2 linked regions of the Caenorhabditis elegans genome follow. The protein of the gene in region 1 purifies or fractionates together with the protein of each later gene. This does not show direct contact. Each region holds a gene or a part of one and is shown on either strand. Other genes may lie near its edges. The genes, in order: dat-1 and unc-64.

Region 1 (14,572 bases):
GATATTGTGAATTCTGTGTGATTGAAAAAATGGACTTTGGTGATCTAGAATGATAATTTTCGAAATTATTTGTATGATATTTTTTATTCATCACACATTCAGCAAAAACAAATTTGAATTTTAGAAACTTCAAAAGCATGCCTGTTTTTCCATTTTGGTGTGAACAAGGGTTTCGCTCGATGTTTTCTCCAACTAATAAAGAACACTGTTGCATAGCATGGAAGAAATGTCAACAAACAAAATCCGTAAATCCAACGTGACCATTGAGAGTGACTTCTAGATTCAATGCCCAAAAATGCTCTGAGAACAAATTCCAACAGTTCTGTGATTGGCAATACAAGAAGCATGTACAACGCGTAGAAGAAGAGTATGTAGACTATCGGCGCAAATCTTGGATGACACCATGGCATATTTTTGTGGTCCTCCTGGAATTGGAAAATATGAATAAAATACTCTGGTAAGCAAAAGAGTTTTTAAAAACAATTTGAAGAAACAATTGAGGGTTTTCTGAAAATTATTATTTTAACAAGAATTATAGTACACCCGTGATCTACTGTAAAGTGAAATATAGAAAAAGACAAAATGTGAATACAAATCAAATTATTGGTACCAAAAATGAAGAATGAAAGAGAAAGGCTGGTTTGGTTAACGATTCTGTCGGTTGGTATGAGAGGAATAGACAGAGAAGGGAAAAAGGACACCTGCATGCAATGAGCAGATGCGAATATTATTTGTTCGATAAAAAGGGAATGGTTAGAGTATAGGGTGAAGCTTGTTCTTCTTACAGAAATTAGTTTTTTGCCTCAGTCATTTTTGAAACTATTCAGTTTTAAGTCGAAGAATATTGTTTCCAGATTGTCATTTACAGCCAACTTCCTGCTCGACTTTCAGGCTTCTGTAACGTTTAATCAAAGTTTTACCAAATTCTCAACTAAGTATGACCAAAAAAATATTTTCTTAAAATGATTTCAAGCAAATTATCTCACTACATTTAATTTCAAAAACAAATTTACGCCCGAGTCTGAAAATAAGGTGAAAATTTTAACTGGTGTTCGGGAAGTAAATTCTAGTAGTGAGGTGAACACAATACTCAAATGATTATTATTTTCAATTGTTTACATTCAGACAAATACGGTAGCATTTCAAATAAAATTGTTTCTTTAATGAAACAATTTAGATGTGTTAAGAAAAGTTAGTAACCGCGTTCACAATTTTTTTAATATTTTTTAAAGTAATAATAACGATTAAAATCATTGATTAACAGTTCTTACACAACATTTTGTTTTTTTTTTAATTTTGAATTGTTTTCGAGTTATTCTAAACTTTATTTTACTGAAGCGTGAGAACCAGAGAAGCCAGAAAAATTAAAATACGCTGAGGGAGTTAAAACTTTAATTTCACCTAACTACAGTTGATTTTTTATTGCCCGCAAAATTGTATGTTTAAGCCGAAATCACGGGGTGATTTTAAAGTTCAGAACGCAAATTAAACCTACTACAAAAATGGGGCAAATGAATTTATTTATTTGTTTATTCACTATTTCTTGGCTTGAAAATTAAGAGCAAAATGAGGAATACAAATGAGATGAGGTAAGAAATGTGAATGATAAGGTGACCAGATTGGAACATGTCCGAGGTCAGATGATACAAATGATTTCCAAGAAAAGTTGATGAGAAAAAAAATATATGATATGATGACATTCGGCAATTTCCTAAAAGGACTCCCAGTTTCTGTAAAACATTTCCGATTTTTCTTTTCTGAAAATGAAACAAAAATATATGACGAAACGACAAAAAATGTAAAAAAGAACATAAATTAATATGGGCTTTGTGGATACACATTGAATATGCAGTATGCATGCAATGTCTCGCCCACTTTTTGGTAATGAAAATGTTTATTCATGCAATGGAAGAGCTCCGTGGGTTTTTCTATACCAGAACTTTTCCTATTTGTATTTTCAATTTTTACGTTTAGTTTTGAACTATTTTCGTGTGGAAACTCAAGTATTTCGGGAAATTTAAAGCTCATGTATTAATTATGAAGTGTCAAGTTTTCGGCGGGATTGAGGAATGTGAATTTCGAGAAAAATACTCAATAGCGCTATTTTTTCAAAAATTCAAAATCAGTCTGTGAAGCAGGATGGAATAACCTTTTGAGAATAAATAAACATTTTATCTTATGCTATGCATAATGCCATGACAACTCGGCGCACCGTGACAAGTTTTCATGTGATATCTCCAACTATTACGCATTTGATTGTAATTTCAAATGACTCAGATCTCATTGAAAATATTGAAAAAAGTCTTGAATTCAAGGTTTGAATAAAAACCCCAAGATTTATTATTTGGAACCTATTTGAAACAGATTTTCAATTAAATATCAAACTCCTTGACTAAATATGGGGCGTTTTTTACAAATTCTAAGTGAACGAAGTTTAATTTTTGTTCTAGTAATTAAGTTTTTCAAACCAAGTACAAGTTCACGATAAGATATATGGCAGTCTAGAAGGAAGTTAAGTGAATAAGTGTATAAGTAACTTTTTATTTTCCTCAATATTTCAATTTTGCGTCTTGTATATTTCATATGTTCATACGATTCTTTCATTACTGGTATTGTTGTTTCGGTTTTATCGACTTTTAAAATTATAAAAAGCCAAGCAAAGTTAATATTACATTCGAGAATCATTCAACGCAAGTCTGATTTTATATTTTAATAGGTCTTTTTCTAACAGCTATTCTCTCTGGACTTTAAGATCATCAGTGTAAATTATCTAACCTTGTGCATACAAAAATTGATGAGTAGGTGATTGGTAAACAAAAAGTGGACAATGGATATAAATGTACAAATATTTCATTCAAATATTTACATAAAAATACAGATTTGGTTATTGTTGACTTGAAGAATTTTTTAATCGAATTGTTACGTTCTCCTCTTGGAGGTCTCCAGTGTGTTCTAATCCTACTCCAACTTGTTGCTTTACTTGCCACATAATCTCCGATTTCAGTTCTTCATCTTGTACATTCTGAATTTATGGTAAAACTTTTAACTTTTATGAAAAAAGCATTAATTTTGTTAACTCACCCGTACTAGATTACATAGTTCCGTAGAATGTCCTGGCCTTTTATTCAACTCAGTCCAAATAATTACAAGTGCTCGATTTTGAAGCAATAGTTTCTTTTGATAAGATTTCATTCGTTCATAATATTCAGTGGATATATTTCGAGAACTCACATAGCTCATTGTTAATGACTCGAGTTGTCTGAAATAATAATTTATTATAAGAAAATGGTCTTCGACTTACCGATTTCTGATTGGATTTCCAGTATGAGCTCTGCACAGTGGGCACTTTTCATTGATATTCAGGTGACTTTCGATACAAAATCGACAATAAGAATGACCACATTCTATTATGCAAGGCTGGAACATGTAATATACTTTCTTGAAATTTCCAGTCAAGGTTTTGGTAGATTGCCAGACTCTCGAAAATTAGGATTTTTAAGAAATTTAGATAATTATTGCATGTTAAAGCCCAAAAAATGTTCAAATACGTATATTTGAGACATAATTAAATAACATACAAAATTCGTGGAAAAAAACTTATTTTGGTCGACTCAAAATTTTGAGTGGCGAAATTCCGACTGAAACATTCCAAGCAATATTTGAGAAGCTTTAGGCAATCTCCGCACCGTTCAAATGATTTTTGTTAATTTTCTTCCGGTGCTACTCTAATTGTTTAAGAAAAAAACAGTAAGCACTTACCTCCACAAAAAAATCCAAGCAAACCGCACAGCAAAAATCTTCGTCACGCATCGTAATAACCAGAAATGATGATTTACTAATCTATAGGAAAATCTTCTAATTGAATCAAATTATATAAAATCAGTTTTTGTACTAAACCGATTATTTGTTTTTTTTTTGGTTCCGGACCCTAGAACAATTGATTATTCACATTGAACGGAAGGTAAGAACGAAAGGAGAAGAGGGGAGGGAAAGAAGAACACAGACAGGTTGGTCAGTGTGCAGAGCAACAAATGCGGGAAATGACTAGAGAAAGAACACCTGGAATAAGATAGACAGATGGAGAGATGAGAGAAGGGTCAACGAGATGAGATGGGTAATAAAATGTCACACAAAAAATGTGATTGAATATTGGGAATTTGTTAAGATTGACTTAATAAATCATCATTTAAGGCAACTTCATGACTAATTTTGGCAAATTTATTTCAAGGGCCAGTTTGCAATAACAGCTTGAATAAGTTACCAAGTTTTAGCCAGGGCTTTGCAAACATTTTGCGGAGAATTTCAAATGTCTGTCAAAGCGATTTCCTTATAATACTTCAAATTTAAAAAAACTAATATGATTTTCTTTTTTGAAATGTTTTGTTAATGTAGCAAACAAATAATTACACTAAAACTGGAAGTCTTTACCTACCGAATGTGAAATTTTTCTCGATATCTTTGATCTTTACAAAGAACCAATGATTCCTAGGACCGTGCCAACGTTTCAATCAAAATCTTAATGGGCAAAATGTCAGACAATTACAACTAGAATAGCGGGTTTGAGGTGTAATGAGATGTCTGAAAAAAGAACGACAAAACACGGAATAACCGGTTACTGTACATCTTTTTTCCAAGTTAAGTTGTTTGGGATGTAGTTTTAGAGAACTTTATTAGGCGGGTAACTTTATTGTAAATGAAATTTAGAAAAAAGAGAAAAGATAAATATTTAAAAGTGTAAATAGAGATGAAAAAAAAAAGATCAAAGAGAAAAGGAACAGAAGAGGATATCAGAGAGAACTAAAGGAAGGAAAGTGGTGGTGTAATATGAAAGTGTAAACGAGTGAAACTAGGATAATGAAAGTGGAAGACACCTATGTTCATAGCATTATGTCAGAGTGCGGTTGAGTGGTTGGAATTGGAATATATTCTGTTTGATTCGGCCTTTTTCGATAAGGCATTGTGACTCGTTGCCATTTCTGAAAAAAAAATACACAAGCTTTAAGTGTGTTTGAAATGTATTAGTTAATATATTTTAGTATTAAAATGTTCCAATTGAGAGAACGGTGTTCGTTGTCAACTTTGTTTTGGAGTTTAGTTGCAAAACGTTGCAGAAATTTGGTAGACAGCTTTGTCAGTACGCTGAAATTTTTTTTGCAGAAATTTTCAAAATTCTGGGAGAGAGTTGCAAAATTTTGCCAGAAAGTAAGACCAAAACAGTGCTTCATATCTAACTATTTCATTCTATCCTACGCTTTCGAGACTGATTTCTGCTCGGAATGGTTGACATTACCAATAAATTTTAAAAAATCCAACTTATAACATATGGCATATTCCGAAATCGAATTCACAGATTTTAGGTATATGACTAATACAGTTCGAACCTGATCTCAACCCAATTATTGTTTTAATCACTGACCTCAGATATCGTGTTCCCCCTCGCATTGACGAATTTGTAGATTCCTACCAATGGAATAAATGAGGCGCCTGAGAGCGCAAAAATAATTCCTATAACGTTTGCCGCGGTTGGGTATGTGTAGTCCTGGTAGGTCAAGGCTTGATAATTGATGAAGTTGGAAGTGATCATCGACTGGAATATTGGTAATTTGGTCATGTTGGATGATGTTGTAAATACTTTTTCCGCTACATATAGAAAATTGCCACACCTTCCTATTGGAAAAGATGTAAAATTTATTTTTTAATAAAAAGTTTGTGAGTGCAAATGTTGTTAAAAGCGCCAAGTTTGAATCAAGTGTGATCCATTTTTTGTCAAGTTCTGGTGCAAATTCAAAACGACACTTGAAAAGTTTGGGCCAACGCAGTTGGCGCCAAAAACCAGACTCTTACCAATAAAATGAATGGTGCGGCACAGCTCCAGCAAAACTTCCAATAATTTCCCGGGCGGAATCCCATCATCTCTTTGACGTCATGAACAAATTGTCGCAGACCTGTGAAATTTTGGAAATTTTGAGATTCAGAGCACACCTACCGTAGATGTATGCAATGACCATTGCTTCACAGAACACTGCAATCAATAAGCCCCATGTAGTTCCATAGATGATGAGCCATTCCATGATTAGAATTCCACCCTTCAAAAATTTTTGATGAAGATAGTTTTCGGTGAAAAGGTTACCTCTGTACACATAGCAATTCCAATTACCATGTAAAAAGCAAACAAACAACCAACGAACACTTCTCTGTTCTTTTTCAATATTGGAAATTCATCTGAAAGGCCGGTGATGATAGCTTCAGATCCTCCGAACTAAAATAATCTGCTATAGGTTTTCTTACGATTCAGACTTACTGAAGAATCAAGGCCAAGTGTCATGAGCATTAAGAAAAAGAGCACAGACCAGAATGGAGCATATGGCATTGTTGAGAGTGCTTCTGGATAGACTACAAATACTAGTCCAGGGCCTTCTTGAGCAACTGCTTCAATTGGTTTTCCAGATTTGCAGGACATGTAGCCGAGTACGGAGAAAATCACAAACCCTGAGAGAAATGATGTTGCACAATTGATGAATGATGTGAAAAGAGCATCCCTGTAAAAATTTCAAAAAAATTGTAATTCAAAAATTCCAAAACTTACACATATACATTATTATGGAAATCATTATATGACGAGTATGCCATGAGAACTCCGAATCCTGGCCCTAATGAGAAAAATACTTGCGTGGCAGCATCTTGCCAGACCGATGGTCTCTACAAAGCTTGAAATTTGAATTTTTCTATCTGAAACTCGAAACCTTGAGCATTTCAAAGTTGGGTCGAAGATAATATTCGATTCCGTTTTGCCATCCGGGTAGAGTCACTCCACGAATGAATAGAATTCCCAGTACAACATATGGAAATAGAGCAGTAAACCAGACAACTTTTCCAGAAGTATGGATTCCTTTCCACATTGAAAAGTAGCAAATGAGATACACAACGAAGAGGGAAAGCTTTAAATTAGAATTTTCAAATTTCATTCATTAATTTTTGTATACTTACAGCAATGTCCCAACGTACATTTCCCAGATCGGTGACACTTCGAATAACGTGAGAGTTCGGTGCATTTGCTTCATGGAGCCCCAGAAATCCCTTACTGAAACATATATATTTTTTTTAGAAATTATCAAAAAAGTTTAGAAATTACTAAAAGTATTCTTCAGCAGCTGAAATCTTTTCAGCTGAGACAGATTGATTTGCACTTCGACACATTGCTGTTCCGTCTTCTGACCAGTGTGGTTCGTAACAAGCAGGAGAGTTATAACTGTTGTTACAGGATGCCCATGGCAGGTTAAAACTGAAAATAAAGTGAATATGGCAAAATTAAAAGGAATGGTGGTTTTTAAAATTTTTCTGGTATAGCATTGGCAAGATATCCGAATAGATATCTAAAAATAATTAGTATCAAGTTTTAAAAAAACTGTAATTTTTTTCTTGAAATTTTACCAGAGGCTTTGTAGAACTTTAGTCATTTTTGGTAGACTTAGACAAGATTTTTGACATTAATTGCAATAGTTTTCCAAATTATGGCGGTAAAAATTTATAAGATTTAAAAATTATTTGGTTTTACTATGTCTTTATAATACCTAAAATAAGCATATTTTGTCCTCACCTGAATGAAGTATATAAATAATGAAGCCCCCAGGCAAGGATCACATTATAAAAGAAATCCACATAGAATGCGGTTAAAATAACACAATATCCGATTCCTTTGAACAACGGACATATTCTTCCCCAAGTTGTGATTGCTCCTTTTCTATAATACTGGCCGAGGCACAACTCCATGTAGAATAGTGGAACTCCTGTCAACAGGACCATTATAGAATAAGGAATCAGAAATACTCCTCCTCCATTTTTGAAGCAAAGATATGGAAATCGCCATATATTTCCCAAATCTACAGCAAACCCGACAACTGAGAGAAGGAAGTCCAGCTGAAAAGATGGGTTCATATGTAGAATTACAGGCAAGATGGATCTTACCTTTCCAGACCACTGTTCTCTTGCTGGATCTTTGGGTTCTGTATTAACTGGTCCATCAATAGGAAGAGTTGCATTTTGCATGCCATTAGACGTCCGACCGATTTTTTCGTCGGGATCGTCTGAAGATTTGATTTTAACTTTAGTTAGAAGTCACCGACTAATTTTTAATCTAATGTTAAACCCTGTGAAGAATTATAAAACTTAAAAAAAAATTTTAATGGTAAGTTATACTATACCCAGAGTGTTACGTTGGTCTCTAAGGATGAGAACTTTAGCCGCGGGTCTCGCCACGCGGAGAACGAATTACTGTAACTCATGTCAATTTGCAGACCGCTATTGTATCATATTCTTTGTTTGCGTGGCGAGACCCATGTGCGTAAGATTTGGCGAAGATTCTCATCTTGAGGCGTCTACGTAATAACAATTTCAGAAAGATAGCTTTGTTTTATAACGAAAGTCTACAGATAAATAAGAGTCGGGCAAAAAACGAAATACCTGTAGGCACCAACTGCATGGCTAAAAATTGTTGAGATTCGAGTAAACCGTAGCGGGATCAGCTTTTCGACTAATTTGGAATATGGACCTGAAAACACATGAATCTAGTATAGTTTTAAGATATTTAAAAATAAAATCAGCTCATTGAGCCCGTAGCTATCCACTTTTCTTGTCAGAACAAAAAAACCGAAAGAATGGGAAGAGGTAGAGATTGCCTTGGAATCTAGATGTGGTGGCATGTCGAATATTCCGGTGTATGTGTGCCAGCCTCAATATCATCGTCGTTTTTCTTCCAAATTCTGCTTCTGAATCATGTCGGCGTCTCCTAACGACGCAGTCTCAGTTGGTGAAGACTACGGTGCGGTGGATAATTGCCGGAAAGCATCTATCTACTTATACTTCTTTTCTTCTTTTTCTACATTTATCCGAGCTATGTGTATATGTTTGTGCGATTATATCTGCTTCAAAGGGGTCATACTGGAATAGGCATGGATTTATTGTTTTTAGAGAAAAGGACAGGAAAAGATTTGGGAAAAGGGCATTGGTGTGTACATATGATCCCAAAGTTGCTCAATAGAGCACTTTTGCACGCGGGTATCGGAATTTAAGAATGCATAATATTTGAAAGAAATGAAACTAGCGAAGCTAATGATAATGTCATAGATATTTTGAGGATACGAGAGAAAGTGTATGAGGTCGTTTTAGTGAAAACTGGATTCAAGTTCCATTTCATGGATTTCAGAAAAGTATTCAGAATTGGGAATGTGCTTTAAAATACAAAAACGACTAGAAACATTTCAGAGATAATTATTCGGTTGTGTGGGCAGAAAGACTTTGTACTTCTCGTAGGTTGATGCCGCTTTTTGGCGAATTTTTGATAGCAGTGGCTCGGAGATGAGGAATGAGACGTTGAGGACATCTTGGCTGAAATAAAAATGCTAAATTTTCAAAAATTTATAGAACTCTCTGAATATTCTCACAATTTTCTCGTGGACAATCGCTCTAATTTTAATTGCTATCTTTTTACGGACTTTTTTTTATTATCAACCAATTTTTCTCTCATTTCTAGATATTTTCTACTTCTTTTCTACCTGTTTCGTTGTAATCTGTTATTTTTGATCGGTAGGTGAGGGAAGTGCTGCTCGGCGAAGCGCGATGCGATTTAGAGCAATAATTATTTTTCGGAGAGTTTTGTTGGAGTAGGATAATCATTTCCTTTATATTTTTCTTTGGTTTTCTCTTTTAAATTTGTAGAAAAAACTTACAAGTAAGTGGAGGGAACTAGCTGACGAGCATCTTCTGCAACCAGAAGATAGCATCTACCGGGTGCCCTGATGAGAAGATTTTGCTCATGTAGAATATTTTTGTCATCTTCATCGCAGGAATACTAAAACGGTAGAACAGTTTTTGAAAATTGCCGATTTCCAGTTACTTACTCTAAACATTCGTGGATACTTGTTGAACAGAATCGACGGGGGCATTCCCATCACTTGCGCAATTTTTGTCGCCGTTATAAAACGGGTGTTCACATCGATTCTGTCCGGATTCCACCGAATGACTTCGTTCATTGTCGGTGGCGTCATTTCTAGTCGATATGCTTCTTCATCTTTACGTGGACGACCTCGTCGTCTTTTAGCATCGGAGCAGTGGCTGACTCCAGACACGTCTGAGCTATCCGATTCGTATCCTCTCTGAAAATATCAGCATTTTTGATATACTTTGTTTTGTATTTTTTAACCACGCCGTAGTGATTAAAGTTTTGAAATCGTCGCCAAAATTTGCTTTAATTACTTCCGTTGTATCTATTAAAATAGTTTTGAAAGGTCCTTTTTTGAAAACAGTCGGCGAAAATTTTCCAGATATTTTCTAGAATTGAAAAATATAGTTTTTCATTCTTTATTCGATTTGAGATTTGAATTACCTTTAAATTATTCTCATGTTCTTGACTGTTGATATCAAGGAACCCATTTCCATTTGTACAAATCGGTGGCATAGGCTCCGGATCTTTTTGATATGGCTTCTTTGCAGCCTCCAAAATGTTACAGTACAAACCATTCAAAACTGATTCGTCAACAACATGCCCATTTTTGCGGAGATTTTCGATAGCTGGTAATAGCGTTGTTCTAGTATGCCTCTCCATAATCTGATGGATTTCTCTCGATATTTCCGCTTGGAAAATCTGAATAATTTTCATTTTAATTACTTGAAACATTAACAGTCCATACCCGTCTCATTAGATCCAACGAAGATGGTGCATCGTCTGCCATATCCATTTTGTTCCTTTTTATCACGTGCTTCAATGAATTTACCTGAAATTTTCCCAATTTCTTTTTCCGGTGTGAGTTTTTTGTTGCTTTTTTAGCAAAATTTAACTCTTTTTCATCCTCCACAAAAAACTCGATTAAAATTCACACTTTTTGCAGGGCAATGTTTAAATTAAATCAGTTGATTGTCATAATGCATCATCCAACACTGTTCACAATTTTTAAAAAGAACTAACTCTTGCTGACGATCCATCGTTGCTTCCATCCATTTCTCTGCTCAACAATTCATCGAGAATCACTATCCTCATATTCATTTTGTTGCCATTCCCATTTCCAGTTTGCCGTTCGAACATTTTCAGTGCTGAAAATTTAAATTTTAAGATTTGAGTGTATATGGGTGACTACGTAGAAAAAAGAGAAGAGGAAATAAAAGTGGCAGTCATGCTAGCTGGCTGGAAAATACTATCGTCTTTTGGATAGACGCAGAAAAGACGCAGCACTCTCTGCGACTCTCCAGGCGGCATGTTTTCCTCATACTCTCTCCCTGACACGCTCTCCCTGCCTTCTCTCAACTCACTTCTCCGTTGGTTTTGCCCATCGCACAGAGTTTGTGGTTTTTGTTTCGCTTTTTTCTCTACTAGTTATGATGTCCATGCTCCCTCTTCTTCCATTTCCTATGTTCACTTTTCTCCGAAGGTGGTAGATTGAGAGTAGTAGCTTGATAAGATCAAAGACATTGGTCAGTTTTGATAAACCTAATGTTTGTTTTTCTATTTCGTGGTGAGAGGAAAGAGACAAATCGGCGATCCGGTTGGAACATTTGGACAAACACTTGTTCGCACTAAACCAATCAATCACACAGTAATCAGTTCGACGGTTCTGTTTTTGTGTCATTTGTTATATTCTTCCGTGTTGCGTATTTTCGATTCTATCTTTGTCAAATAGTATTAAAGTTGTGAAAAAAGTTTAAAAATCTGTTCTTCGAAAACGAAAGCGATCATTCTTTAATTTGTCATCCAGTTTTGATATTGTCCATACTCGAAATCTTGCGTTTCTTACGCTAAAAGAACGGTACTCTTTAAAGGCGCGCACATTCTTGTATTTAACAACATATTTCGTGCCGAGACCGGATACCGTATTTTTAACGCAAAATTACGGAAATTTTGCGTCGGAGTAATATTTAATTCCTATGTTAGCGTAATAGTGAGTCAAGACATTGATTCTGATTATACCTATTTAAATTGTTTCAAATTTTTTACTTCTTATATCTGCTGATGTGAAGCTGTCTAGAATAAAAATGTTTAGTTTGAACGGACTAAATTAGTATAAATCTGATTTATTGAGTGTATATAAAATTTTCTCCTCCTCTTCCTCATGTCATATTCAGAAAGGCCGTCTTTGTTCTTAACCTATAATATGAGCATGCCATGGTGATATCTCTCGAAGCGTACCTGGATATTCTTGAAAACCATTTGCGTCATAGCTAGGCTTTTTTCCAGTAGAGTTCAGCTGTTGCCATTTGGCGTTTGTGTCAACCAGCATCATTTCTGAAATCAAGATTTTCTCTAGCGCTCGAGAAATAATCAAATTTATAAACATCAATATGTCTCTGAATATTTCCAAAACATTTCACACACTCCTCCGATTTGTTCACCACGCTAGCTGTTGTGTTGGCGCGCAAGGAGTTTGCACTACAAATATCCATTTTCAATGATCGCTGTCTGTCTCAAAGCCGCGATGGAAAACCCTCTTTCTCATCGATCTTTTCAAATTATTATTTTCATCTTCGGTTCCGTTCATTTCGAATTCTAGTTGCTCCAAAAAACAATGAGAACCGCCGCGGGTGGGTCCTTCGCAATTCAAGACGGCAGTCGCTTTCGTGGAAGCAGTTTCACTAGGTCTTTATTTTGCACAAACAAAGTGATGGGTTGTTGTTTGTGCTCACGAATACTTTTCTTCCCTTCTTTGTCCCTTCGTGTGACCGATATGTCTGCCTGTCTGGATAGCTGTTTTTCTTATTTTTGTGCTCTGTGTTCATCTAATTTGTGGGGGAGCATGATCCTATTATGATCACTTGATTGTAGTTTTCTGTAGAGGTCTGTAGTGTTTTAATTATTATTGTGGAAAAACTCAGTTTTATTTAAAATATTGGTTAGAATCTGGAAAAAATAATTTAGAGACTCAAAAAAAACTGAAATTGTGTATGAATTTTTCAAATGCATCACTGAAAACATAAGTTCACACTATCAGCTCTAGATATGAAGCCTAGCACCTGTTCTTCACTCGCTCTCTCTCTCTCTCTCTTTCCCTCTGTCTGCATTGATTTTCGAGAAGTCTTTGACCAAGCGCAGCTCATTGAAATTAGGCCCTCTTCTCCTTTGAAAGACTCGTCTTGCTCTGTTCTCTCCTTCCTTCCTGTGCTCATTTTGTGCTTCTCCTCCTCCAGAATTCCCCGTTTCTAATATATACACAAAGTGCCATTTCAAGACCCTCCTGCCCTGTCGTTCTTGCATTTTCCCTCCCGCCCGTCAAGTTGACGGCAACTGCCTTGCATTCCTCTTCTATTTTTTGTGTTGCTTTTTTTCCTTTCTTCCATGCAATCTTCGCACAAATTATTGTTGCATTCTTTTCTACAAAAAAAGTGTTTTTGTGGGACTCAGCAGCCTAAAGCATAAAATTGAACGAAAACCAGGAAATAAAAAAAATGAAAATGGCACATATCGATGTTTTCCGGTCCGTTGAAATTCGAATTCCTTCTTTTTTACACCCACATGACTTTGAAGTTTACTTACACTTCAGCTCCATTTTTTGCCGATCAACACTCACTGACCATGCTTTATTGGTTCTTTTGACACTTCATTTGAAACAATCTAACAGACTTTTCAAGCCAAAACAGTCGTATTCTATTTATCAGTAACGTTGGTCACTCTCTGATAGAAATAGACTGATGGGTTGTATTGAATTTGAAACTGATAAGCTAGTTGAAAGATCATTTATTCTCTCTTGGATTGTTGTATTACGCTCCAAGCAGAGTTTTGATTCAATTTTCTTTTTGGATTTTCTATTTTCAATAAATGTGTCATATTGTTGACGCTATTGTATTGTTCCGATTAGAGAATATACGTTTTGAATCATATTTTCCTTGTTTTTTCTTTGTCGCTTTAACTTTATTATGTCCTTATCAATATTTACATTTTTTTAGCGGTCACCTCACTGCAACTTTTTCCTCACGAGGGACGAGGAAAAGTGGTTTCTAGGTCATGGCCGAGGGGCCGACAAGTTTCAGCGGCCATTATCTTGCTTTGTTTTCCGCCTGTTTTCTTTTGTTTTTCATCGATTTTTTTCATTTTTTCTTAATAAAACTGATAAATAAATATTTTTTGCAGATGCTAAAACAATTTCCAAGTAAAAAAATCATGTATTCAGTGGGCAAGCAGCGGTGAAAGTGGGCATTGTAATATGATGGATTACGGGAATACAAAACCTAAACTTTTTCTGAAACATGATACATATGCTGCTTAAATGCTGAGACTACCTGATTCATAAACGAGACCGCTGAAAAAGTTTTGAGGTTTCCGAAATTCAACTTTTTTGGTGAAAAAGTCGAGATTTTCGCACAAAAAGTTGAATTTTGAAAACCTCAAAACTTTTTCAGCGGTCTCGTTATGAAAATCAGCATCTAAGCATCGTATGTATCATGTTTCAGAAAAAGTTTAGGTTTTGTATTCCCGTAATCCATCATATTGCATTGACCACTTTCACCGCTGCTTGCCCACTGAATACATAATTTTTTTACTTGGAAATTGTTTTAGCATCTGCAAAAAGTATTTATTTATCAGTTTTAATAA
Region 2 (16,210 bases), 4.0 Mb from region 1:
TAACTATACATTTTTGGGCTTTTTTTATTTTAATATTCAGTTTGGAAGTACTACAACTTTAAACTAAAAATATTTAACTTTAAAAAAATATACAGCATCAGTTTATGATGGCCAAATGCCATTTTCAAAAAGTTTTATGATTTTTGAAATTTGGAAGATTACCAGTTTTTGCCACTTTTTTGGAAGTCGTCGATCAGAAATTTAAACAAAAATTCCTTCGAATTTTATGGTCTATTTATGTTCTAAATATTAATATTCAAACATGAAATTTGTTCAGTTTTGTACCATAGGAGCCACTGGCGCTACTCCACCTTTAAAATTAAAAAAAAAACAAAGAGTGGCAAAAAACAGAAATTGCCACTTTTTGACTAAATAAGAAATTTTCAAAAAAAAATTCGAATTTTTTTACTATGAAATTTAATCATTTTGGCACCATAGGAGTCGTTTTTAACAACTTCCCCCACTGCCCTGATCAGATCCCTAATCCCACCAAATCATTCACCTCTCTGCTCCGTCTCACTCCTTAAAAAATGGTGGGATAAAAAAAAGAGTCGCAGAGAAAACCCGCGAAAAAAAATAGGGGTAAAGAGTCCCGCCCCTTGACACGCAAAAGCATGAAAATGGAGAGAGAGTGTGTGTGTGTGTGAGACGTCTAACTGTCTCGTCGCCTCTCCTTTCATCGTTTTGGCTCTTCCTTTTCTCTCTCTCGTGCTTTTCCCATATATATCGAACAGATGTGGTCTCTCTCTCTCTCTCTCTCTCTCTTTCACCGGGAAGAAGACGAGCTTTTCCCCCTCATCTCTTCTACTCTCTCTCTCTCTCTCTCTCGTCACTCAGTTTGCTCCTAAAACGGCTCCCCGAGACACACAACGCCTTCTATTCGGTGCTGCTCCCCCCGCGTCCACTCCCCTCCGCCTCACTTATTTTTTGCTCTTTTCCTTTTTTTTTCTTTGAATTCTCTATTCTGCCCTATTATCTTTTCAGTTTATATACAAGTAACCACGTTTTTATTTCTTTTTTTAGACTTGAAACTTACTTCAGTTACCCTCTGTCCTGTACAAAAAATTGTCAACTGAGAAAATATTTGTCATCTCTTTCTCTATTGTTTTGTTGTTATACATTAATTGATATATTTGAAATATGTAACCAAAAATATAAAATTTTAACGTAAAGTGCAAAAGGAAATACGGGTAATCTAATTAATTTTTTTTTTTGACTTTTCAAAACTTTTTTCCACTTTTTGAAAAAAACTACAACACTGTCATGTTCAAATGCCATAGTTAAACTTTTCAAAAAAATTTTGAGCATTTTTATTGTCAGCCAAAAAGTGGCAATTACTGACTTTTTGCCACTTTTATTTTAGAAAATAGCACTGCCGACCATTTATATTTGAAACATAAGTAAATCATAAAATTCGAAGGAACACTTTTTATATCGACAACTTCCAGATAAGTGGCAAAAACTGGTAATCTTCAAATTCCCAATAAATCAAAAAATTTAGATTTTTTTCGAATTTTTTACTATAATTTTTCGAATTTTTTACTATAATATGAAATTTGGTCATCAAATGTACATTTTTCGAATATAAATGTTTTTTGTTTAAAGTTGTAGTATCGTCAAAAAAGGCCTAGTCTAGTCTATATTTTAGTTTGTTCAAAAAAAATTTCAGTCAAAGTTTTGGTAAATTGCCGAATTAAAACGTACACTAAAGTACGAAAATAATAGAAAAACATTAATTTTGGTCGACTTCCAAAATTTTTAACACCAGGTTTTGACCACTCGAAAAAAATTCCCCTTTTTTTGAAAATTGTTAGTATGAACTTTTTGTGCAATTTTTAACAATCTTCATTCTATATAATTTTTTTTAAGTTTTAATAATCTGATAATTTCTATTTAAAGTATATTTTTCCCATTTCTCCTTTTTAAACTTTTAATTCGATTTTTAAATTCTCATTTTTCCTTTTCCAGACTTTCCATCAAAATCTCTTTCTTGTCTCTTTCCATTCACATGACTTTTTGACAGTCCAACAATAGGAACCACTTTTCGTGTCGAGACCTGTCAACAGGAACAACAACATGACTAAGGACAGGTGAGTCAATATTCTTGAATCAAGATAATGATGCACAAATTTTAGATTGTCCGCTTTAAAAGCGGCGCAGTCCGAGGATGAGCAGGACGATGATATGCACATGGACACCGGGAATGCACAATATATGGAGGAGTTTTTTGAGCAGGTACTGTAGTGGAAAAATTGGTGTCGAAATAAACAAAAATTATGGTTCAACTTTTTGAAAAAATACATGTAAATTTTTTCATTCAAGTCCACTTTAATAATTTGAAGTCGGCCAAAAAAATGTTTTAAACTCAGATTTTTTTAAACTTCAACTTTATTTCAATTAATTGGATTGGAATTTTGTTAAGAAATTCTCGAAATGTTTTTTTTTGAATTCCACAATATCTGAAAATTTTTAAAAATAGTTGATAATTTTGAACTATTATATAACGAGAACACAACATTCTGAGAATGCGTATTGAGCAACATATTTGACGCTCAAAATATCTCGTAGCGAAGGCTACAGTAAGTCTTTAAAAGACTACTGTAGCACTGGTGTAGATTTACGGGCTCGGTTTCGAAATTTATCGATGAAACATTAAAAAAATTTTTACTTGTGAAACTAAAGAAAATAGCGCACGTAAATCGACACCAGCGCTACAGTAATCATTTAAAGAATTACTGTAGTTTTCGTTACGAGATATTTTGCGCGTCATATGTTGCGTCATATATGCGTGATATGTTGTGCAATACGCATTCTCAAAGCGATTTCCAAACTGTAAATATTTTAGAAATGGATTTTGAACTTCTCAAATTTTCAAAAAATTCTACTAGTTTGAAAAACAAAACAAATTCCAAAATGTTCGCAAATTCTATGACCAATCACACAAGCTGTTCAAATAGTTGAGAAACAAGAAAAAATGAAACTCAATTTTGTGATGTATTTCAGTGACGTCCCCCCCATATTTCGCAATCTTTTTTTTTGTTGCTCTCTTTTGTCAATTTGCCTCGATTTTTATATATGTGTCATTTCGGGTGTCTCTGTTTCCCATGAGGGGGCGATTGAATATTCATAGTTTTTGCGCAACCGACGGCGACCTTTTTTTCAATTCATAGAGATATATAGATTCTATGGAATTTTGTTCTAGGAGCTCTCTGTGGAAATAAAAATGTTTGGGGTTGATGAAAATGGAAACACTTTAGTTGAATTTTTTTTGCAGGTTGAAGAGATTCGTGGAAGTGTGGATATTATTGCGAATAATGTTGAAGAGGTCAAGAAGAAGCATTCGGCAATTTTATCAAATCCAGTTAACGATCAGAGTATGTTTTAAAAAACTGAACTTTTAGAAAATTGATTTTTCAGAAAAATAAAAATATCGAAAATTTTCGTTTTCCAGATCTTTCGAAAAAATACCTGTAAATGTTGGCTTTTTTTTTTCTTTAAAAAATTATTTTTTTAGGCTTGGCCTTAGGCTTAGGCTTAGGCTCAAGGTTAGGCTTACGCTTAGGCTCAGGTTTAGGACTAGGCTTAGGCTCAGGCCAAGGCTTAGGCTTTTAGAGTTAGGCTTAGGCTTAGGCTCGGCGAGGCTTCGTTTTAAATTCTCCAAGAAAAGATCTGGAAAACAATTTTAAAAAGTTAAAAAAAAGAAAATTTTCATTGTTTCGATTTTTTCGGAAACTAGCTTTGAATTGTGACTCTTTTTTTTCTTTCAGGAAAAATTTTGTGCGTGTTTTCTCAGTAAAATAAACAAAGTTAGATTGAATTTTTTTAAAACAGTTTCGTTAAAAAAATTTCGAAAATAAATTTTTTAAAAAATTGTTGAATGGATAAAACAAGGTTCAAAATATTGTACTTTTTGAGACCCCCAAAAATATGCCACAATTTCAGAAACCAAAGAAGAACTCGACGAGTTGATGGCAGTTATCAAAAGAGCTGCGAATAAAGTGCGCGGCAAACTGAAATTGATCGAAAATGCCATTGATCACGACGAGCAAGGAGCCGGAAATGCGGATCTTCGAATTCGAAAAACTCAACACAGCACATTATCGAGACGATTCGTCGAAGTGATGACTGATTATAATAAGACACAGACTGATTATCGAGAGAGGTGTAAGGGACGAATTCAGAGACAACTCGATATTGGTGAGCTTTTTTTAAAACATTTTTATGGAAATTTTGCGAAGCAAAAGTTGTTAAAGTAAAAAAATCTAGAATTTTGGAGCACACCTGAATCATGGTGCTCCCAATGTCTGCTACCTGCCTACAAGGCGGCTTACGCCTACGACATATATGTATACCTGTCATAGCGCAAGACGAACCCAGAGAACATCGGACGCTTCAAAAAAATTTTTGTCAGGCACACCGACTAGTCGAATTATAAGTATCGTAGGCAGGTAGGCAGGCAGACGTGTAGGCCTAACTGGGGCAGGACAAAATTTTTCCTGACATTCTGTGCCACTAAATTTTGGATCAGTTTTTAAAAAAATTCACACAAAATTCTAATAATCCATTACATATTTTTTCAGCTGGAAAACAAGTCGGAGATGAGGATTTGGAGGAAATGATTGAGAGCGGAAATCCGGGAGTATTTACACAAGGAATCATCACAGATACCCAACAGGTTTGTTTTTTTCTAATTTAAAATTTGAAACAAAAAATTGAAAATATTAACAAAAGTTATTCCAAATTCGTTTTTTTTTTTGGCTTAAGCTTAGGCTCAGGCTTAGGCTTAGGCTTAGTCTGAGGCTTAAGCTTAGACTTAAGCGTAAGCTTACGCTTACGCTTAACCTTGAGCGCGGGGAGGCGTCCTTCCAATTCTCCAAGAAAAATTCTGGAAAAAAACCCAAAAAATGTTAAATAATTTTTTTAGGCAAAACAAACGCTAGCCGATATTGAAGCTCGTCACAATGATATCATGAAATTGGAAAGTTCAATTCGAGAGCTTCACGACATGTTCATGGATATGGCTATGCTTGTCGAATCTCAGGTTTGTGGAATTTTTGATATTACAAGTTGAATTTTCAAAAAAAAATATAGGTTTTTTCTAACAAATTTCTTAATGTCTAGTCTAAGGTAAAATAGAAGAGGTACTTTCCAACCAATCAGCGTCTTCGAGTCCGCCCACCCCGCCTGATTGGTCGTGTAATTCTCAGCTTGGAGGAAATTCAAATAATTAAAGAAAAATCCTGAGCTTTTCCAGGGAGAGATGGTTGATCGAATTGAGTACAATGTGGAGCACGCGAAAGAATTTGTTGATCGAGCAGTAGCTGATACGAAGAAAGCCGTTCAATATCAGTCGAAGGCGCGAAGGGTTCGTTTTTTACGTTTTTGGAAAAATTTAATATTGTAACTCTATTTTGCATGGATATACCTATATTGAGTTTTTTATTCATCAAAATTGATAGAAAATGTGTCTGGCAGCTGGGAAAATGTGGGTTCTAAAATTCCCAGACACGAGAATTTTTATAAATTTATTAATACAAACGGGTGTGTGCCTTTAAAGAGTATTTTTATTTTCATCGACTTTTCATAGTTTTTCGGAAACTTTTTATTTTCGCACAACAGTTTTGCATTCAACAAAAAATTGTCGTGTCAAGACCAACACGGCCCGGTAAGCAAGTGGTACATCCATGCAAATGCGCTCTACTGATAATTTGAGTGTAGCCAGGTTTGGGCGCGTGATAACGAAAAAAGCTTTTGGTCCAAAAAAAAATTCGAATCTATTTTCGGACATTTTTATGCATCACAAAAATATTGGACCACCCGTTTTTGAGATAGATGCGCCCAAACGTCCAGGTATACGGTAGACAAATTGCGTACTCATACAGTTTGCCGGGCCGTGAGTAGGAACCGTATTTTTGGCACAAAAGTCGGGCAGGAAATGATTCAAACATCATACCTCACGCGCAACATTTTTTTATGAATTTGAAAGTTTATGAAATATTAGAAAGTATAATGATATGATCTACCATTTTTCAAGTTGCCGCCGCATTTTTTTTTCAAAAAAATATCGATTCAAAAATTGATTATTGTACTGTATTAGTGATTCGTGGTGTACATCTGTAATGTTCCAGATGAAATGCTATATATTTGTGTTAATTGTTGTCATTATTCTCGTCATCGTCATTGCTGTCGTCATTTGGGTTATTGTTGCGAATGCTTCAACTTCTGTTGTGTTACCCTCAAAAACCTCAAGCTCCTCCACATCGAACACGTCTTCTCAACGTTTTCGTGTTCGCTGAAAAATTGTCATTGATTTTTTTTTTCTTAAACCCTCTTGCTTTCAAAATTCGGGGAAAATATTAATATTGGTGACGGGAATTGAGTTCAATTTTTCAAATCAATTTCTCATATGGGGGCTTTAATTTATTATGTTTTAACTTACTTTGTGTTGTCTCACTCTCTCACTCAAGTCTTTGTATTACGGGAGCATAAAATTCTGAGAATGCGTATTGCACAACATATTTGACGCGCAAAATATAACTATATCTCGTAGTGAAAACTACAGTAATTCTCTAAATGACTACTGTCTTTTTTTTGCTTAATATTAGTATTCTATCGATAAATCTCTTCAGTTTAAAATCGAGCTCGTAAATCGACACCACAGTAGTCAGAAGTTTTCGCTACGAGATGTAGTTATATTTTGCGCGTCAAATATGTTGTGCAATACGCATTCTCAGAATTTTGTGTTCTTGCATTTTTTGGAAAGTTTGTTGTTAGTTCTCAGCAGAGCGTGTTTGCAGACCGTGGACCTCCTGTGATTGTATTTTTTATTGTGATTGTCATATATTGTCCTGTGATGTGTTTTTTTTTTCGTCGTATTTTTTGTCGTAAACCATAAATGTTTCTCTCTAACCTATTTGTCCATTATTTTCAGAAGAAGATCATCATTTTGATCGTCGTCACCATCCTAATCGGCTTCGTTTCTCTGTGGCTCATTCAGTATATTCCTGGCATTTAAGCCCATTTGTTTCCCCGTCTAAACGCCCACGCTAAAAAAATTTCAAAATTTCAAATTCTATATGACAACAAAAACGGCTCCAATAATGAACCAAATTCGCTTGTTTTCTCTGAAAATAAGGGCTAAATATATCTTTGTAATTAGAGCATTAGATTAAATAGAGCAAACTTTTATTATCAAAAATATTTAATTTATTTATTATTTAGTTTCTTTCAATCAGGTACTTTTTTCATAATTAATCAACTTATTTTGGAGAAAATACTATTTGAAAAATCAAAGTGCAAACCCGCTCCACGGCCAAACGTCCCGCCTTTATAAATTGGGTCTCGTTAGGTATTTAGCGCGGCAACATCAGGAAATTCAAACGTTTTCACCCAGTTTTTCGTTGTTTTAAATATTTTTGCTGTCAAAATAATTTTTTTAAAAATCAATAAAAGCAATAGAAAGTAATTGAAAATGTTTGAATTTTCGAATTTGCCGCGCCAACTTCCTCACGAGACCCATGGTTTCAGGGCGGAGCGTTCTCAATTAGCCGTGGAGTGCGCTTGCGTCAAGGTTATATTACCGAATCTTGGATTTTTGCGCCGAAGCAAGTCAAATACAGTACCGGGTCCCAACACGACAAAGTTGCGTGCCATACAGAAATGTGCTGCGCCTTTAAAGATTACTGTAGTTTAAAACTTGTTTTTTCGAGGAAAAAAATTTTTAACTTATTACGGGAACACAAAATTCTGAGAATGCGTATTGCGCATCATATTTGACGCGCAAAATATCTCGTAGCGCAAACTACAGTCATTTAAAGGATTACTGTAGTTTTCGCTACGAGATATTTTGCGCGTCAAATATTTTGCGGAATACGCATTCTCAGAAATTTCTGTTCCCGTAATACAGTAATCTTAAAGGCGCATACTTTTTCGCGTTTAACAAAAACACTTATCGTGTCGAGACCGGGCAAAAATCACTGTTGATTTATTATCATAAAAGTACCCGAATTCCCGAACAAATTAATATTATTTTTCTTTTAAAAAAAGCCTAATTATTTCGCAATACATCCTGTTTTTGTATCTCCACTGCCTTTTGACCCACTTTTCGCGCGCTTTTCACACGTAAATCTCACCCCCGTTCTCTTCGACCAAGCAATAGTTCTTTTTAATATAAAAATTAAATTTAAATTACAAATTATTTCATTATTTTTTAAAATTAGAATAATATCGATCTCAAAATGGAAGCTTAAATATTTATTAAAAATTGTTTTTTCTACAAATTTTCAAAACTTTAGGATCCTTCCAATTTCTTACTGTAAGAAATTTTAATTTTTTTTTCAATTTTTTTTGCCACCCATTTCATGTGTTTTCTGTTCACTCACCACCAACCAACCAAAAAATTAATTAATCAATCAATAATAATAACAATAATGAATTTCTGAATCGCTTTGAGATATTTTTTTTGTGCAATTTTCTTACTAAAGCTAAATTTCAGAAGAAGATTTGCATCCTTGTCACCGGCGTCATACTCATCACTGGCCTAATTATTTTTATTTTGTTTTATGCGAAAGTATTATAAATTTTTTCAAATCTCGACGAAAAGAAAAACTTAACCAAAATGAAAAAATTGAGCAAAAAATACAAGAAAATTGGGAAAAAAAGTTAATGAAAGACTTGAGGGAAAATTAATGAAATGTAGTGGACGAAAATTCCTGAAATAACTCGGGCGGAAAAATGATTGTTTAGAACGGAAAAATTGTAAAAAAGAAAAAAGTTAATGAAATGAGTGTGTTTGAGGGGGATAGAAACTTTACAAAAATGAGCAAAAAATGATTTTTTAGAACAGAAAAATTGTAAAAAAGAAAAAAAAAGGAAAAAAAAGTTAATGAAATGAGTGTGTTTGGGGGGAAAAGTGATATTTTCAGGAAATTCAATTTTCTTTTCAAATCTCAAAAAGAAAAATGAAAAACTTTACAAAAAAGAGAAAATGGGCAAAAATAACAAACTCGAGCGGAAAAAAAAATGAAAAAAATTAATGAAATGAGTGCAATTGAGGAAACATGAATAAAGTCGGAAGAAAAGGGGAGATCTTCAGGGAAAAAAGCAGAAAAAAAGATTAAAAAGTTAATTGTCATACAGTGAATTAAGAATGAAGATGTATAGGGGAGAAACTTTCAGAATGCAGGAAGGGTTCCCATGCACTTGGTCGATTTGCACCTGAAAATTTACAATTTTTAAATTATTTTTCAGCTTTCCAGAATTTTTTTTTCAAATTCAGATATTTTTTCGTACAATTTTTTTCTGATTTTCTCTGGAAATAGCGAAAAAAATATTCCATTATTTCAAAATTGAAAAATTATTTTCAAAAAAAAGTTGGACTTTTTTTTTCAATTCTTCGTCAAATTTTTTCGTAGTTCTTTTGTTTGTTGATATTTCTGAATTTCAGAATAATTTGAAAATATTTTGTAGGAAAATCCCAGTTCACTCCAGGAGTGGGCGGCAAACGATTTTTTTCGGCAAATCGGCAAATTGCCGGAATTGAAATTTCTGGCAAATCGACGAAATTGTCGGAATTGAAAACTTCTGGAAAATTGCCGGGATTGAAATTTTGGGTTAATTGCTGGAATTGAAATTACCGGAACATTGCCGGAGTTGGAAACTTTCGAATTGAAATTCCCGGTAAATCGAATTGAAATTCCCGGTAAATCGGCAAATTGCCGAAATTGAAATTTCTGGCAAATTGCCGGAATTGAAATTTCTGGCAAATCAGCGAAATTGCCGGAATCGAAAACTTCCGGCAAACTGCTGGAATTGAAATTACCGGCAAATTGTGGAGTTGAAAACTTCCGGTAAATCGGCAAATTGCCGAAATTGAAATTTCTGGCAAATTGCCGGAATTGAAATTTCTGGCAAATCGGCGAAATTGCCGGAGTTGAAAACTTCCGGCATATCGGAAAATTGCCGGGATTGAAATTTCTGATAAATCGGCGAAATTGCCGGAGTTGAAAACTTCCGGTAAATCGGCAAATTGCCGGGATTGAAATTTCTGGCAAATCGGCGAAATCGCCGGAATTGAAAACTTCCGGCAAACTGCTGGAATTGAAATTACCGGAAAATTGCCGGAGTTGAAAACTTCCGGCAAATCGGCCAATTACCGGGATTGAAATTTCCGGCAAATTGTGGAGTTGAAAACTTCCGGCAAATCGGCAAATTGCCGGAATTGAAATTTCCGGTTTTCAAAATTTCTGGCAATTGGAAATATCGGCAATTGCCGGTTTTGAGATTTTTTAGCAATAGGAATTTCCCGGTCTTCAAAAAAAAAATTGCTAAATGCTATCCACAACACCAGCCAAACCCCATTCTCATCGCATAGGGTCACCTATTTTCCCAGCGTTCCAAGTTCACATACGCCTAGCTCTACATATCCGCGTTTCCACTGAAATCGATCGGAAAAACGGCGCGTTCAGACAATCGTGAGCCTATGTCTACATGATATTCATTCATTCATTTTCTTTTTTCTTCATCATGTCAACCTCGTCATCTGTGTGCAACACTGACTCCACCACCTCCCCATGCTCTTCACCCGACTCGACTCCCATGTCGAGTCCTTCCAAGCCAAAGGTGAAATCTGATCGAGAAATTGCCAAACTGAAGAAGGACATTCACGTCTTTGCGAGAAAAATTAATGAAGAATGCGAGCGCTTCATCGATAATCATATAGAGGTTAACGGGGAGGAGGACGCCGTTAACCAGAGAATTCCGACCTTCTTCATCAAGAGCTACAACTTTTTGAAAAAAGAAGCAGAATCTGTGAGCTACGAGGATCGCTTTCTCGACTTCATCCCACAATGTATTCGAATGAAGGTGACCACCGAGCAATACGGACCCCCAAACTGTTTCCCCGAAGCCGACGAGAATGGATATCTCAAAGATGAGCCGAAACGTTTGGCGGACGAACTCGTTCAGTTCTACGTTGACGTCATCGAGTACGTTCGGTTTACGTTTGTCTGTACTGGAAAGATTCCGATCCTTCCACACTCGTACTACCTGACTCTCTTCGTTTATCAGAAGCGTGTCGAGGAAAGCACACTGTTCAACAAAAGTCTAGTGAGGATGATTCCAGAAGTCTTGGTAAGTCTCTATTGAATATATTACCTAATGATCTAATTCATGAAAAATTTTCCAGCAATCAATGCTCAATGTCGGAACATTCGGCAACCAAAATATTGGAATAGACTATGTTACAGACTGCACCAGAGAACACTACAAGTATTTGCTTGAGTAATCATTTTGTTGATAATAACAAAACGATTGTCACTATGAGACCTTAATTTTAAATTTCGATAATAAAGTTTTGCTTTCACTTTAGTGTTTTTGGTGTTTTTCTTGAGAATTTTTGAATCAAAAAATATAAAATACGATTTCTACAGAAAATCTGTCAACACTGACGCGGGAATTCAGTTTTTAATCACAGCTTGCTTAATTTAATAGATTTACTATGATTCGAATGTTTGTTAATTTCATGTCACTGCGAAACGAAAGAAATTGGAGATTTTAGCTAAAATTAGCCGTTTTTCAGAGAAATTGAACCGTCATAATTTTTTTTTTGGAACATTTTTGAGAATTTTCATCATATTGAGTATATTTTGAGCAATAGAAGGCTCACCGGCATTTGACACTCGACCGTTTCCACTCGATACCGGGCTCGTAGTATGCAATCGTTATCTCTTCTCCTAGAGCGATGTCCTTGATGGCATATACTGCAACACGTGGAATCAGTGGATCTTCTTCGAATCGTCGACTGTAGACTTCGACGAACACCGAGCTGGGGTCACAGCTGTGATTGATGAATCGGGAGATATTCCTGAAATAATTTTTTATTGCAAAAAAAAACGTGATTTTGGTTTACTCTAGAGGGGGAAGACTTCCATTTTTCCATCAGACTTCAAAACGAGAAATTGTCATTCGAGAGTATTCCCCATTTATTTTTGGATTTTTCGTTGGTTTTTCGGACAAAAACCAAAAAACTTTTTTTTTTGGTTTTTGAAGAAATTAAATTATTTGTGGTATCGGTTTTTCGATTTTTTATAAATCTAAATATCAAAAATGTTATTTAAAATAACTTATTTTTTCGTTTTCCAATATTTCGAAAATAATTACCATAAAATTTTGCACGGAATTCTGGCTTCCCTCATAAATCGAAATGGCAGAGTTTGCCGAACTAGCCATTTTGGGTCGGAGAGATTTTGTGTAGATTTACGGCGCGTTGTGTGTCGCGGCTCGTTTTTAGTTGTAAAACTGATTTATTTGTCCGTGTGGAGTACACGAAACTTTTCCACGCGTTGTCCGGCCTGGCGATGGTAAATGGAGCGCGAAAATTCAATGAGGAAAGCCAGAACCCCGTCATTTTGTAAATTTAAAGTCAAATTTTGTTTAATGTGATGGAAATAATAGAAACTTCTTCTACAAAAGAAGAAAATTGGCCAAAACTTTAAGAAAAATCAATTTTTTTTAAATGGAAATATCGGGAAAACGAAGCAAAAATACGATTTTTTTTTCGTTTTTTGGTCCAAAATCAAAACAATTTTCGTTTTTCGGTAAAAGCGAAAATTGAATTTTCAGCGTCCGGCACACATTTTTCGATTTTTTCGATGAAAATCGAAAAATCTAAAAAATGTTCCAAAAATCAACCATAAAACATGATTTTTCATCTAATTTTGTTTATATTGATAAGAAAAAACATTAAAATTTCTTCAGAAAAGAAGAATAATTGCCAAAAATTTAAGCTAATTTTTGAAAAACCGAAAAACGAAATTATTCGATTTTCGGAAAAAAAACGAAAAATCGAAAAACCGACACCCTTGGTGATTATTTTCGAATGGCACATATCTCGTGTTAAAGTCTGTGGAAAAATTAAAATCATCCACGACGGAAATTTTATGAACTACCAACCCAGTCTTCTTGGCACTGATAATGATCTTAGTATCCATCGCATTGAACGCAGCATCGTACGATGAGTCAACTCTCTCCGGGGCCTCTGGATTCTCTTGTTCCTCGCCATCATCCGTTTTCGTCGATGAACTTGCGACAGGATCCGACGTCGGCAGCAGTGTCACGTCTCCAGTGTATTCACACACTAGTTCTCCAGCCTTGATGTTTGCAGCAGCACGAACGCCGAACCCTTTTTCAGGCCCTTCATAGTAGACGGCGAGTGGATGCTGCTGTCCTCGTTGAAGCGATCTTCGTGGGCAATCCAGACTGCAGCCACACGCGTCCGAGCATTCCATCACGATTCGAGCATTGTCAATTTTGAAATCCGTGAAGTCAACTTTCCCGTCCGGTGTACACTCCAGATTGGTGACATCGTGGGGATCGTAGAGGAACATGAACTGAAAATTCAATTTTTATTTGGGGTTTTCTGAACAATTTTTGTTGTACTGTTGAAATAGATCCGTGAAAAAGAGCATCACACGGAAAACGAGGCGGAGCGTAATTTTGCAACCCTGCGGCACGGTTTTCTTTACGCTGTTTTTTACGGAGAGGCCCCACGAAAAGGGGAACCGGCACTGTGTCAAACGCACAAAGGATCATCGAGAAAAATTGCGTTTTGCGCGTTTGGCACAGTGCCAGATCCCCTTTTCCGCAGATTTCCATTTCGTTCTCCTTTCCCCTTTTCGTGGGGACTCTTCACGGATCGATCTTTCAACCTCGTCAGTAAGTTTCTTTTTGAAACATCAGCCGTACCCTAGCGTCGCATTTGCACTTCGTCCCATTCTCGCACGCTTTACTTCTCGTGGGCATCCATATTTTCTGGCCGGTCAAGTCGGCGAAACTCATATTAGCACGGCTTTCAAGACATCTTTTGTAAGCGTCCACGTCGACGATGTTGATTGCAGTGTACTGAAAAAAAGAAAATTTATTTCGGATTTTTTCGAGTTCCGAGAGTAAAAAGTTATGTTTGTCCAGAAAAAAAAAACAATTTTCTACAGTAGAAATTTGTTTTTTTGTTGCTATTTTTTGGGGGAAATAGATTTTGGGATTCAAAAAAAATCCAAAAAACTCATTTTCTGTGCTTCAAACAGTGGTTTTTAATGGTTTTCAATGGCTTTTTCGTCTAAAAAATTCAGAATAAATAGAAATTCGACAAAAGCCCCACTGAATCGCAGTTTTTTTTTTAAAAGCCTCCAAAAATTCGGATACTTACCGCGTAGCACGGTGGGCGAACGGATTGAGTGTATGACGAAATATAGAAAACGGGTGCCAATCCCAAATCCCTATTATCCATTGTGTGGAAGTAGCTGAGATCCTGATAGATCCAGAACACATTTTCTGGACTACTCTGTGGCACGGGCTCGATGAAAATCTGTTTCAGAGCCTCGTCGAGTGTCAATTCGATTCCGTTTTCTTGATTTTTCTCGACGACTAGCTTTGCTTCTTCTGCGGCGGCCGATTTCACGGTTTCGATGAACTTGTCTCGAATCGACATTTCTTCTAGAATCGTTGGCGCTGTTCTTGCACATTCTTCAACTGATAATCGGTGCAGAGTGAGGCACGTCCATCCTTCGTAGTAAATCAATATTTTGCCTTCTTCGCTCTGAAAAATACGAGAAATTTTTTATTAATTTTTTTAAAAGGTTTGCTGAAAATTTAAATTTGGTTAGAGTTAATTGAGAATTCGCCAAAATTAGCTTTGTAGATAGATGAAAAAGGTATTTTTGCACGCTCTCCTCGAAACCAAATAATTATTAGAGCGCGCTTGCTGCGCTTCCCGTTTTTGCATCCGCGGCATTTTGACTTTCCACTGAAAAAAAGCAGATATTTCAGATTTATCGAATTTTTTGCTTTTAAGATTTTTTTTCTGCATTTTACGAACAAACCTTCTGTTAAACAGTGAAAATCGAATTTAAAATGACTAAAATGAACTTTTTTCGTCCACTGGTTGTGAAATGGTTTGAATTTGAAGAAATCAACGGGATTTTTCTTATTTTCTAAATATTTTTCTATTAAAAATCGGTTTTAAACCATTTTTTGACCCAAATGTTAAGTTACAAATGTATTAAAACCGATTTTTAATAGAAAAATAATCAGAAAATAAGAAAAATCACCGTTTTTTTCAAATTCAAACCATTTCATAACCAGTGGACGAAAAAAGTTCATTTTAGTCATTTTAAATTCGATTTTCACTGTTTAACAGAAGGTTTGTTCGAAAAATGCAGAAAAAAAATGTTTAAAGCTAAAAATTCGATAAATCTGAAATATCTGCTTTTTTCAATGGAAAGTCAAAATACCGCGGATGCAGAAATGCGAAGCGCAGCAAGCGCGCTCTAATAATTATTCGGCTTTGAGGAGAGCGTGTTTTGGTGTATTTTTCAATTTTTTTTTATAAAGGAGATAATTATTTTTGAATTCCCGCGCAAATGAATTACCTAATTTTAAGATTTTTCGCGTTTTCCAGCTATATTAATCAAAATTCCTTGTTTTTCTTGTATAAATGAAGTAAAGCTCCATTCGGCAATTTTCCAAAGAGTTTTCCACAAAAAATATAACTTTGAACTTTAATTTTCTTTCGGAGTAGCCAGTTTTCTCACTGTCTAAAAATTGACAAATGGAGAATTTTTATTAATATAGCTGGAAAACGCGAAAATCTCAAAATTAGGTAATTTATTTGCGCGGGAATTTTAAAATAATTATCTCTTTTTTTTTTTAAATTTTAATAGTTTTCCTGAAAACTAATAATTACCCTGAATGCAGCTTGAGCTGGCCAGTTCGACGCGTGAGCGCCATACTTTGCCAGATCGCTTTTCGTGAACTTCTTCGTCGGAATCCCGGGGAATGCGATGCCTTTACGTGACCAAGATCCATGCCGTTGTGCTCTTCTCGCTTCGTTACAATTCTTATTGACACGAGACTTGTATGTAGAGACAACAGTGATGCGTTCATTGTTCGGATAGTTTCCAGGACCGAGCGGAAGAACGACGACCATGATCGGATTTTTCGCGATTTTCTCTACACGTCTGAAAAAAATTAATTGCTCCGTGAATTTTACAATAAGCAACGTCGCACAGAAAAAGAGGCGGGGACGTAATTACGCAACCCTACGGCACGGTTGGGATCTTACTTGTTTTTTCTCGTTTTTCGAATGAAAATGTTATCCAATCACGGTCTCCTGGAGTGTTCATAATTATTAGAGCGCGCTCGCGCGTCACCTCAC

What was found.
Region 2: the proteins of dat-1 (region 1) and unc-64 purify together in Caenorhabditis elegans (affinity purification with western blotting, with the first as the bait; one study listed by BioGRID). This does not show direct contact.

Annotation. Positions count from the first base shown.
Region 1 is NC_003281.10:9,236,882-9,251,453, reverse strand, and holds dat-1 (Sodium-dependent dopamine transporter), read right to left. Parts: upstream 8,480-14,572; coding exon 8,461-8,479; intron 8,085-8,460; coding exon 7,966-8,084; intron 7,918-7,965; coding exon 7,598-7,917; intron 7,283-7,597; coding exon 7,133-7,282; intron 7,082-7,132; coding exon 6,988-7,081; intron 6,939-6,987; coding exon 6,744-6,938; intron 6,700-6,743; coding exon 6,587-6,699; intron 6,540-6,586; coding exon 6,302-6,539; intron 6,260-6,301; coding exon 6,131-6,259; intron 6,087-6,130; coding exon 5,987-6,086; intron 5,946-5,986; coding exon 5,845-5,945; intron 5,588-5,844; coding exon 5,417-5,587; intron 4,977-5,416; coding exon 4,878-4,976; 3' UTR 4,652-4,877; downstream 1-4,651. Other genes in the region: T02C1.2 (RING-type E3 ubiquitin transferase), read right to left, coding at 142-410; putative RING finger protein T02C1.1, read right to left, coding at 2,885-3,022, 3,082-3,259, 3,302-3,417, 3,760-3,810; saeg-2 (Suppressor of activated egl-4 protein 2), read right to left, coding at 9,258-9,384, 9,726-9,847, 9,897-10,151, 10,382-10,639, 10,686-10,769, 10,961-11,032. UniProt on the Caenorhabditis elegans protein: Dopamine transporter. Terminates the action of dopamine by its high affinity sodium-dependent reuptake into presynaptic terminals. Plays a role in the learned avoidance behavior of animals exposed to food that induces mitochondrial stress.
Region 2 is NC_003281.10:13,275,293-13,291,502, forward strand, and holds unc-64 (Syntaxin-1A homolog), read left to right. Parts: upstream 1-1,966; 5' UTR 1,967-2,076; coding exon 2,077-2,090; intron 2,091-2,135; coding exon 2,136-2,235; intron 2,236-3,274; coding exon 3,275-3,374; intron 3,375-3,942; coding exon 3,943-4,197; intron 4,198-4,580; coding exon 4,581-4,675; intron 4,676-4,924; coding exon 4,925-5,041; intron 5,042-5,254; coding exon 5,255-5,365; intron 5,366-6,931; coding exon of another isoform or gene 6,932-7,015; exon of another isoform or gene 7,016-7,048; intron 7,049-8,494; coding exon 8,495-8,578; 3' UTR 8,579-8,595; downstream 8,596-16,210. Other genes in the region: Histone-lysine N-methyltransferase set-25, read right to left, coding at 9,174-9,216, 11,666-11,863, 12,952-13,388, 13,744-13,899, 14,204-14,593, 15,740-16,013; F56A8.8 (NR LBD domain-containing protein), read left to right, coding at 10,525-11,130, 11,186-11,284. UniProt on the Caenorhabditis elegans protein: Plays a critical role in several secretory processes, including cuticle secretion and neurotransmitter release, and probably assists in neuronal membrane maturation or the final stages of neuronal differentiation.